Linked DNA regions of Callithrix jacchus. The main gene of each other region encodes a partner of the protein of the gene in region 2 in a complex. Links are inferred from orthologs where the notes say so. Each region holds a gene or a part of one and is shown on either strand. Other genes may lie near its edges. The genes, in order: TACC3, AURKA and TPX2.

Evidence for each region.
Region 1: the proteins of AURKA (region 2) and TACC3 are in contact, whole or in part, in a crystal structure (PDB 5ODT), measured with the Homo sapiens proteins. The link is inferred for Callithrix jacchus from reciprocal best matches to the Homo sapiens genes AURKA and TACC3. Residues at the interface, in NP_001310232.1 of Homo sapiens: Leu130, Phe133, Glu134, Ile135, Gly136, Arg137, Tyr148, Leu149, Ala150, Arg151, Ile158, Val163, Arg205, Tyr207; in NP_001428248.1 of Homo sapiens: Glu523, Ser524, Phe525, Arg526, Pro528, Val531, Leu532, Gly533.
Region 3: the proteins of AURKA (region 2) and TPX2 are in contact, whole or in part, in a crystal structure (PDB 3HA6), measured with the Homo sapiens proteins. The link is inferred for Callithrix jacchus from reciprocal best matches to the Homo sapiens genes AURKA and TPX2. Residues at the interface, in NP_001310232.1 of Homo sapiens: Lys125, Arg126, Gln127, Trp128, Asp132, Glu152, Gln154, Ser155, Phe157, Leu159, Lys166, Glu170, Gly173, Glu175, Leu178, Arg179, Val182, Glu183, Ile184, Ser186, His187, Leu188, Arg189, Tyr197, Gly198, Tyr199, His201, Val206, Tyr246, Ser249; in NP_036244.2 of Homo sapiens: Gln3, Lys5, Ser6, Ser7, Tyr8, Ser9, Tyr10, Asp11, Ala12, Pro13, Ser14, Asp15, Phe16, Ile17, Phe19, Ser20, Ile31, Asp32, Trp34, Phe35, Glu36, Lys38, Ala39.

The regions. Positions count from the first base shown.
Region 1 is NC_133504.1:191,415,615-191,419,262, forward strand, and holds part of TACC3 (transforming acidic coiled-coil-containing protein 3), read right to left. Parts: coding exon 2,847-3,648; intron 2,075-2,846; coding exon 1,999-2,074; intron 1,790-1,998; coding exon 1,660-1,789; intron 1-1,659. UniProt on the Homo sapiens protein: Plays a role in the microtubule-dependent coupling of the nucleus and the centrosome. Involved in the processes that regulate centrosome-mediated interkinetic nuclear migration (INM) of neural progenitors.
Region 2 is NC_133506.1:52,033,193-52,036,840, forward strand, and holds part of AURKA (aurora kinase A), read right to left. Parts: intron 2,592-3,648; coding exon 2,537-2,591; intron 1,472-2,536; coding exon 1,280-1,471; intron 179-1,279; coding exon 40-178; intron 1-39. UniProt on the Homo sapiens protein: Mitotic serine/threonine kinase that contributes to the regulation of cell cycle progression.
Region 3 is NC_133506.1:7,401,771-7,405,418, forward strand, and holds part of TPX2 (targeting protein for Xklp2), read right to left. Parts: intron 3,489-3,648; coding exon 3,312-3,488; intron 2,948-3,311; coding exon 2,801-2,947; intron 604-2,800; coding exon 492-603; intron 1-491. UniProt on the Homo sapiens protein: Spindle assembly factor required for normal assembly of mitotic spindles. Required for normal assembly of microtubules during apoptosis. Required for chromatin and/or kinetochore dependent microtubule nucleation.

The DNA.
Region 1 (3,648 bases), on a different chromosome or scaffold from region 2:
TGCTGAGGCTGCGGACACCGGACCCTCCTATATGGCTGGCGGAACGCGAAACGCTGCGGCTACTCTGGTAAGCCACCCAGCAGCTGAGAGGCAAGCAGAGTTCCCGTGACCAGTGACTCCACTTCTAGCTACCCATCCAGGAGAAACGGAAGTACGCGTCCACACAGAACTTACACCTGAACATTCATGGCAGTGCTACTCTTGACAGCTAAGAGGCAGAAACCACCAAACCCATGAATGAATGAATAAAGACAGGAAGTCTGCAGCCACAGCAAGGACGTGAGCACCAATACCTGCTCCAGCAAGGCCGGGTCATGAAAACACACTGCCCGGAGGGTGAGGCCGGACAGGGAAGGCCACGCTGTGTGATTCCAGGGATCCCACGCGAGGGCGACAGGCCCAACCCAGCCGAGCCAACATCCCTACACGTTACTTCAGTTTTCTGCGTGCCTGGGCTTTTCTTTTTGAGACGGAGTCTTGCTCTGTGGCCAGGCTGGAGTGCAGTGGTATGATCTCGGTCACTGCAACCTCCACCTCCCGGGTTCAAGCGACTCTCCTGCCTCAGCCTCCTGAGTAGCTGGGACTACAGGTGCACACCACCACACCCAGCTAATTTTTGTGTTTTTTTTTCCTTTTTTTAAAACACTCCACTGTCAATATTAGATCAGTTTTTGCGTTTTTAGTAGAGACAGAGTTTCATCATGTTGGCCAGGATGGTCTTGATCTGTTGACCTTGTGATCCGCCCACCTCGGTCTCCCAAAGTGTTGGGATTACAGGCGTGAGCCACCGTGCCTGGCATGCGTGCCTGGGTTTTAGGCTCTCCAATTGAGATTTTATTTATTGATTGATTTTTGAGATGGAGTCTTGCTCTGTGGCTAGGCTGGAGTGCAGTGGCACGATCTCGGATCATTGCAACCTCTGACTCCCTGGTTCAAGCTTGCCTCAGTCTCCCAAGTAGCTGGGATTACAGGCACACGCCATAATCCCCCAGCTAATGTTTGTATTTTTAGTAGAGATGGAGTTTCACCATCTCTTTGGGAGGCTGAGGTGGGTGTGGTGGCTCATGCTTGCAATCCCAGCACTTTGGGAGGCCATGGTGGGTGGATCCCTTGAGGCCAGGAGTCTGAGACCAGCCTGGCCGACATAGTGAAACCCTCTCTTTACTAAAAATACAAAAATTAGCTGGATGTGGTGGTACGTGCCTGTAATTCCAGCTACTCAGGAGGCTGAGCAGGAGAATCTCTTGAACCTGGGAAGTGGAGGTTGCAGTGAACTGAGATTTCACCACTGCACTCCAGCCTGGGTGACAGAGGAACACTGTCTCAAAATAAATAAATAAATAAAATAAAACAATTTAAAAAAGGCTTTTGTTTCCGGCAGTATGTCTGATGATCAGGAGGCCCAGGTGCTGATTCTGCATCTGTATCTCACCCGTGCACTGCCTTGTTCACACTTTCTGCTCCTTTTCCTGAGTCCACAATTTCCATTCCTAGAAGTCTCTTATGTTAAAGGCATCAGCCCTGTTCTAATGGTGCCTAACTTTTGAGAAACCAAAACTTTGTGCTTGAGTCATTCAAAGTCGGGGACACCTGCCTGCGGAATGACCACCTGCTGACACAGGCGACTCAATGTACGTGCGGCTGTGCCAGGCAACATACCCTCAGCGGGGTCTCTGAAGTGCTCCTCTCTCAGCTCCAAGGCAGGCTGCCCCTGCTGATGGGTGGGCACTGGCTCACTGTCCGGACAGCCCATGGGAAGCGAGGTGCTAGCAGAGTCTGAGGCTCTCTCCTAGAGGAAAGGTGAGAGTCACCCTGTGCAGTGCAGTCAAGGTACCGGAGGTGGGGCTCTGTCTCTCCTACAAGCTTGTGGAAGTAGACCTGTGGGCCAGGGCAGCGGGACATCCCGCCCACCACCCAAGATTGCTGGGGCCTTCCACTGCTTGCTGCTCTTCCCCAGAAGCAGGCCAGGCGCACAGGCACCCACACAGGCACCCTTACCTTGCTCTCTGCTCCTGGGGTCTCAGCTGCCAACTGCACCACAGGTGTGTCCTCTGCTAAGGCTGAAAGCAGCTGCCTGGGGAGACAGTTGGCAGAGGCCTGTCCCCCCCACCACATAAACCCGGGTATCCCCTACACCTGCCTTCCCCTGCACTGTTGTGCCGGTCATGGGAACACTCAGCTAGAGTGCATCAGGCAGGGGCTTCCCCAGGGGACCTGGCCACAAAGCTGCCTCACCACCCTTTTCCCAGCAGGCAAACACACACCTGCCAGCTCTGGGAGAAGCAGGCAGGGAACTCTAAAGTTAGCGCAACGCAGCCAGAGGGAACCACAGGAAGAGCCCATCCCTTTTACTCTGAAACTGACGGAGGCTTCGGGTGGGGAGGCTGGGGCAGGACGACCCCGCACTGAGTAACTCTTCGGCCAGGAGGCAGCAGACCTGAGGCCAAGACCCCAGTGAACAGGGGACGCCATCCCAGGCGGTAACAGGCTCTGCCCGGCTGTTGGAATGACGCACCCAAGTCAAGTTCATTGGAGGAGGGTCCTGCCTGGGGTTGGTGCATTTGGCTTCTGGCCTGAGCCCACCCTTATCGGATCCCTCCTTAGGCCAGGAGCGCTAAAGACTCATGGAAGCCAAGGCAAGGCCGAGCACCCTCAGCAGGGCCCCGGCAGCTGTGCCCCTCAGCTTAGATGCACCTGAGCCCTGTTTTTGCCCAGAGGCCCCTCCTCAGGGTGAGCCCACCCAGCCTCAAAGGAGTCGCTGATGATGCCTCTGGCCTGAGGTTGGGGACCACAAACAGGGCAGGGCAGCTGCCCCTGCCATGCTCCCCAGCCTATCCCACACTCACTGGCTCAGATGGGAGCCCAGCTCCTCCATGGGACTCCGTGGTTCAGCTGCCGGCTGGCCCAGCCTGGTCTTGGGGCTTTCTGGAGGCTGGGCCTCTCTGCAACTAGACTTCGTGCTACCTCCGAACGGGGTGAAGTTTGGGTACTCCAGCTTGTCCCAGTCGAGGTGAAAAGAGCCCTGAGAAGCCAGCGCGGGGGTGGTGCCATCGGAGAAATCAAATTCAAGTTTTATGGGTTCAGTCCTTGAGGAGCTGACCATCTGACCCGAAGCCGCTTCCTCCAGAGGACTCAGGGTTGGGGCTGTGCTCTCAGGAGCAGAGGTGTGCGCACAGGTAAGGGTCTGCGTGCCATCTGCTGGCATGGGGGTACCCACACTCACGGGGCAGGCCAGGGCCTCGCCAGGCAGACCCACAAGGGGCGCTCCTCCGACTGCTTCCTCAGAGTTCACACCAGGAGGCCAAGTGGCCACTGCTGTGGGCACAGAGACCCCGCCAGGCCTGCATTCCTGCTCGGCTCTGTGCAGAGGCTCCACTCTGTGTTGGGACTCTGTCCTGGGATGGTCTCCTAGGGGCTCAGAGGTGGGTGTCGTTCCCTTGTCTAAGGAATAAGAACGAACATTTTCCTCCAAGGCTTGCTCAGGGCTGCCAGACAGTTTTCCTGGAGACACCATTTGGTTTTCAGAACTTCCTGGGTTCTGGGGAGAGCTTGAGCAGTCCAGGTCAGCCAGGGCGCCCGGGCCAGGTTCACCGGAGCTGCCATCCCCAAAGGCTGGGCCTGCATCCCCCAGGGGTTTGGTGTCAGCCT
Region 2 (3,648 bases):
AGGAAATGGAATTTGCCTGGACAATAAATGAAAACTCACAGTAGCAGTTCTCTGCTCATCAAACTTTGAAAGTTTCTGAAGCTCTCTATAGACTGTTCCAAGTGGTGCATATTCCAGAATTAAGTAGACTCTGGTGGCATCATGGAAATAACCATACAGTCTGAGAATGTTAGGATGCCTGCAATGAAAGATAAACACTCTAACACTTGGTTTGGAGCTGACAAGAATATGAACAAATGCTTCATGAAAAACTAGTCGTGTTTCACATGAAACCCCCCCCCACACCCCACTTAAGAAACAAACTATAAACCCACTCCAAGAAGTATATATATACCCACATATCATTTTACATGCATTTCAAAGTATTAATGGACCTCTAGCTTAATTAAGACTATTTCCTTCCTTTAGACATATTTACTCTTAGGAGGAAAATTCAGCTGAATATTAATTATCTACATATTAAAAGAAAGACATGGCATTGCCACAGTAGTTTGCTACCCAGACACTGTGACAGATAAAAGCAGTGATTAGTAATGGCGGGAGGTGGGTGCTGAGCAGACTGGGCAGGTGCAGACTGTAGACAGCAGGAAGCAGCCAATGGGAAGCACAACCCGTGTGAGATGCCCACCCCTCCCAGCCCCAGCCAGGTGTTGCCAGGTAGAGACACACCAGGTCTGATGTGGTCAGACTTGAAGTATTAGCATCTGATTCAAATGTGAAAAACACTGAAAGCAAAAAGAAAAAACGGAAAACAAAAAACTCGCCAGCGCTAGTCAACTTGCAGGTAGCTGCTCACAACTCCTGCCTACCTCAGAATATGGGGTATCACTCCCCTTCATTATCCAGCAAAAAGACTTGCCCATATAAATTATTTCATTAACAAAACATTAAATCCTCAAGTGATTTTTCAGGATCAGAGCACTTAAGTGTAGATACATCTTTGAAAAATGACAAATTTAATCATTCTTTGTGGTACTATGAAAAGCAGGCCCTCTAAAAGATAAATTTATACTTTTTTTTTTTTTAAAGAAAAGGAATACAATTTTATTTTAACCTGCAGAGCATGGGAGAATCGCAGGAGAATGATTACTCAATAACCCAGTGTGGTACAGAAGCTTATCTTTCTCATAGGGTAGGGGGAGGTGAGGAAAAGGCCATGTGTTTGAAGGCAGTGCATCATAAGAGGGAGTGAATGGAGCTGGGAAGAGGCTGGCATTACAGGAGGGGGAGGGGCACAGCATCTGTGAATATTCTTTCAAACATGAACCTGAAAACTCACCGAAGGTGGGACTGTATTTCCACTTCTCTTCTGAGCTGATGCTCCACTCCTGCTTTCTCCAGCTGAGCCTTAAATAACACTTTAAGAGCCAGAATAAACTTGCTTTGTTTTTCTCTTGCCAAATAAACATTACCAAACTTTCCTTTACCCAGAGGGCGGCCGATTTCAAAGTCTTCCAAAGACCATTGCCTCCTAGGAAGGAATTTGAACCTTTTAGATTATAAAAACAAACCTTTGCTAACAAATTTTCAGTGAGCACTAGACACATTCTATAAGCAATTTAAGATTCCAACTTGTACTCAGTATTTATCCTTAGCAAGAACCAAGGCAATAACCACTATCAAAAAGTTGCCGCAACATGAAACCCTGACTTCCCCAGCTGCTATTAGGTATGTGAGTCAGACCTGAATCACTCTATGGGAAATGTCCCAAGGCCACGCTATACTCAGAGGAACAGGCCCATGACAACACTGAAGACCATAAAAAGGTTAAGTGACCAGACAGGGAGGAATGCTTCCAGAGCATCGGGGTGCCTCTTTCAAACTAACCACAGCCACCGCCTCCAGTCCCAGAGCTGTTAACACTCTCTGGGTGGAGAACCACTCTGGTGGTAGACATAGAGCTATTGTTACCAACAGAAGCAGGATGGAGCCCACAGGCTACAGGGGCATGAGAACCAATGGATTTAGTCTCAGCCTCTGTTAGGCCGCTAAAAGCAAAACTGTCTGTGGGTTCATTCCTCGCTCCTCCCCCACATTCCAGAGTCCGGACAGTTCAGAAGTTGAGAGGAGACTTTTAGAAAAGACCTGGGGAAGATATTACAGCCAACCTTTATAAAAAAAAATGCTATAATATAATACGGTCAAAACCCTCAGTCATATATGAGTATATAATTCTGCAACATATTCTATTTTTTTAAACTTGTACTTTTATACAATAAAAAAGTACAGACACATATATAAACCATACGCAGTGGTTACTTCTAAGGACAGAGGAACTTCCACACATTTCTGTAACAGATTCTCATACAAGCTTTTTCTAAATTTGAAAGCAATTTTTTAAAGCACTTCTGAGTCCCTAGTAAAATACCTAAATACACAAAATTCCATTTTTAAGATTGGAAATCTAGAAACATTTATATCCTCTAAATGAAAATAAAGGCCTCATTTTTTTGCCAAGAGTTCTTACAACTAAATTTGCAATGAAATAGTATATTCTAGTAGAATAGGACAGAACTTTGTAAATAAGAAAGCTTACTTTTTCGATTCTTCATTTTTCTGTTTTGATGCCAGTTCTTCCTCAGGATTATTTTCTATGTGGAATAAGTTAAAAACCTATTTTTAGAATAACTATATAGGATAAGTTGTGAATAGAGGTGAATTAAATTGGTCACCAAAATATTAATAGTATGTCAAGAATAAACCTGTTGTTTTGTTTTCCTTATAGAAAAAAGGTCTCCTACATACACCCTGACTTCTATCATGTGAAGTCTTTATAGAATTTCTAAAGATGAACAGACATATATATATATATATATATAGACAGGCCCTTCTCTGATGAATTAAAGGCAAACTGTGCAGGTTCTTCTGAAGCCTCGTTTCCAAATGAAGAGCTTTTCCGGCAGAATTGCCAATCTTCCCATGCATGACAAGTTGCCACCTCGTCACCTTTTTTCCCTTACTAGGTAGTCCAGCCAACTGTCCATACCCCACACACAAATTATCACCAACATGTAGCAAAACATAGGCCAGCCACCCTCCATTATATTAATAAGTTGCCAAGGGGAAATATAAAAATAAATGCTACAAATTCAGCAAAATGCACAATGAAAAGTTTGCAACAGAGGACTGGGGTAACTATTTCATTTGCCACAAGAACATACAGGACATTTCCACTTGTCTGTCTCCAACATCTCAAACTCTAACAGCACATGATAGTCTTGCTCAGGTATTTGGATATAAGTGCAAACTCTTCCTCCATGTGCCCATCACATGTGCACCCCTCCAGCCCCCAGCTCACTAACTTAGTTAATATCAATCCCAACTCCTTTTCACTCATCTTACAGGTGCAATGTATTGCCCACTTCTATTGAGTCTGCATCTTAAGTGAGCTCTCAAATTTGTCTGCACCTCTCCATCCTGGCTATCTCTTTGGATCAGTTAACTGCTTCTGAGTCTTAGCTTCCTCCTCTGTAAAACTGAGTTAATAACTGGCTACCTTCATGAAGCAGTTACAAGGACTGAATGAGATGAGGTAGATGAAGCACGCCCTTGAGTTCCGGGAATGAACACTCAACAGTTGGTAAATAATAGTGTCCACTCCGCTCCATACAGAGCAGGTCATTGCCATGTCTGACCTCAGCCTCCTTC
Region 3 (3,648 bases), about 45 Mb from region 2:
TTGCCCGTGCTGGTCTCAAATCTCTGGGCTCAAGCAATCCTCCCGCCTCAGCCTCCCAAAGTGCTGGGACTAGAGGCATGATACTGGCACACCCAGTGGAATCCCAGTATTCTAGCACACTGCCCACTATTTAAGGAATCAAATGTTTTATATCTAAAGTTTGCTTCAGAGTGAATTCCAGAAAGCCATACAGGCTCTCCCTTCCTCATTTACTTGTTTCTCCATGGGTGGGGAAAGCCTATCATTATTGTTGAAATACCAGCTGCTTCTACTAAGGTTCATCTTAAATGAATCTGGCACATCCTGGAACTCAACATAGCTGCTGGGTTCAATAAAGGCAAAAGACTGGGTCTAGGGGAAGAAAAGCTACCATCTGCTAAAGTCAAATGCTTCTAGTTGACACAGCATTGTGCTGACACACTGAGTCCCAGCATCCCACTGGGAAGTCCGACAATTCTCCCCCAGTCCCACCAGAGTACATATAATACTACCAGCAACTGATTTCTTCTCTTTCTTGGGAACAAAGGGCTCCTGAGAGATGACGGTGTTAGGACGAGCCTTGAAGCAAGCTGCTTCTTTCTGCTGTTTCAGTTCTTCTTCCAGCTATTAGAGAGAAAGTCTGTCAGATGAGCGATGCCACAACTTTACATGACTACTACCTCAATAACTTAAGTTCTAATGTCTGAACTGTTTCATCAATAAAAATAGCAGGTTTAATATAAAACTTAGTAAAATATCTCTCATGCAAACTTTATAATGAACAGATTAGTCTGACAACATTTGAACTGAGAACTAGAAAGTGTTATTATTTTTTGAAACACAGTTTCACCATGTTAGCCAGGATGGTCTCGATCTCTTGACCTCGTGATCCACCCACCTCAGCCCTGCCAAGTGTTGGGATTACAGGCGTGAGCCACCATGCCCAGCCAAGAACTAGGAAGTATTTTTAAGATACTTTTAAGATTCCCAACACAAAGAAATGATAAAAGTTTGAGATCATGTATATGTTAATTACCCTGATCAGATCACTATACTCTATATGTATTGAAATATCACTAGGTACCCCAAGAATATGTACAATTATTATTTGTAAATTAAAAAAACAAAAAGTTGGTTTTTCAGTTTTTTTCCGAGAAGGAGTCTTGCTCAGTTGTCCAGACTGGAGTGCAATGGCACGGTCTTGGCTCACTGCAACCTCTGCCTCCCAGGTTCAAGTGATTCTCCTGCCTCAGCCTCCCAAGTAGCTGGGACCACAGGCATGCGCCACCATGCCCAGCTAATTTTTGTATTTTTAGTAGAGACGGGGTTTCACCATGTTGACCAGGATGGTCTCGATCTCTTGACCTCGTGATCCACCCGTCTCCAGGCGTGAGCCACCAATTCAGTTTATTTAACAAATAAAATGCAGAGAGACTTGGCACAGTGGCTCACAAGATTTTTCAGGTTTTGATCATTAAAGAACCAGGTGATGGGTTCATGAAAATTAATTATACTATTCTACTTTTACATGTGTCTGAAAAACTTCTCAAAACAATTGTTTTTGTTGTTATTTGCAGAAAATGCCCTACACAGACATTCTGTGCCTTAATCATTGAGAAGGGGAAATTCACTATTTCCAAGTCAACAGTCCTAAGGTTTCCTAGAGAACCACACCAACAAGGGACCAACGTTCAGTCATGTAAGTCATTACATCTCTCAGGCTTCAAGAGGGGTAATTCCTTAAAAAAAAAAAAAAAAAAAAAAAAATAGCCTAGAGCTCCTTTTGGAAACAGTCCAAGATTAATGATGACATAAAAATCCCAATAAATTTAGAAATTCAGGGAAACTTTTTTCCAGCCTGGTAGAATTAGATCCCAATTAAATCAGCAAATAATCAATTAATTGTTTTAAATCACCTGTCACTTATAAAGAGCAAATAGCACATCATGCTGAGAAAATAGCATTCTATATTAACAATCTATTTTCCCATACTGTTTCTTACCAATGCATCAACAGAAAGGAATAAACACAATGAATGAGTCTAACAGATGGAATAGATAAGATCTTAAAGAGACTCCTGACTCCAGAAAAGCCTGTCCATTCCCACAACCCCCCATTAATCACTTGGAGCAGGGGACATTCCCCAGGTGATCACTTAGAGCAGGGGTCAGCAAACTCTGGCCCACAGGCTAAATCCAGCTTGCAACCTGTTTTAGTACAGCCCCTGACCTAAAAATGGTTTTTACATTTTTAAAGAATTGACTGGGCACAGTGGCTCATGCTTGTAATCCCAGCACTTTAGGAGGCCGAGGCCAGTGGATCACTTGAGATCAGGAGTTTGAGACCAGCCTGGCCAACATGGCAAAGCCCTATCTCTACTAAAAATACAAAAATTAGCCAGGCGTGGTAGTGTACACCTGTAATCCCAGCTACTCAGGAGGCTGAGATGGGAGAATCACCTGAACCTGGGAGACGGAGGTTGCAGTGAGCTGAGATCACACCACTGCATTCCAGCCTGGGTGAGAGAGTGAGACTCTGTCTCAAAAATAAAAAGTAGTTGAAAACATGTGTGTGTGCAAACACACACACAGACATGCACGCGCACACACACACTATGTGACAGAGACCATATGTAACTCACTAAACCTAAAATATTTCTTATCTGGCCCCTTTACAGAAATAATGTGTTGGCCCCTGATTTACAGTGAGAGCCCCTGAAACAATCTAGTATATTAACTCAGATGATTTCAGTGTAGTGGGTCTGCCTGTCCAACCAACCAACTAAGAAATTAACATTTTGGGTGCTCTCCCCATCCCCTACCTGGTGCTTCCAAATCTGTGCCTTCAAAGCACCTCTTTTGTCAGTCTCCAAGCAGAAAGGTTCAATCTGGGTCACATTCTTTACCTTCTTCTCTGGCAGGTTAATGGTGTCAAAATGAGGCAAGGGAAGTGCCTTGAACTTGGGTATCTAACAGAAAAAACAACCCATGAGACTAAAGATAAAGACTAGCTGGAAAGCAGTAGCTACTCCAGAATATTTGGATGAATCTGAAAAATAAGAAAGGACAATCAGTTTTCAAAGTAGCATTCTCTAGCAGAAAAGAATAATGGGTTCAAAAGGAAATCAAGGCTTTTCTCCTAATATTGCCTGTAACTGGCAGTGTGATCAGAGGCAAGTCACTTAACCTCCTTGTGCCAGAAGGATTAAATTACTTGTTCTTGTAAAGATCAAAAGAAGTCAGTGATTTTGTAGTTAAAAATACTATAGAAAAGACGATCTTTGAGGGATCAAAGAATAGTATTCTACTACTTGCAGAAATGGAAACACCTACCTCTCCTTTCTGCAGTTCTTTTATTTTCTTCTCCTTCTGCAACTGACGTTCTTTGTCTCGAGAATCAAAGGAGAAAGGGCATATTTCCACGGTTCTTGCCTCTGGGATTGGGGGCTTAAAAGGCACCCCAAAATATGGCACAGGTTGAGCTTTTATCACTACTGGTTCATCCTCTTCCTAAGGAAAAAACTGCAGTTTAGAAATAAGGTTCCTCACTCTCTTCTACTTCCCCAGAATGTGGACTCAGAAGACATCATATTAATATGTGGCATTAATTAAAACAAGTCACTCAGCCTTTTAGGTGTCTTAGCTTCCTTTTCTATCAAGAGAGCTGATG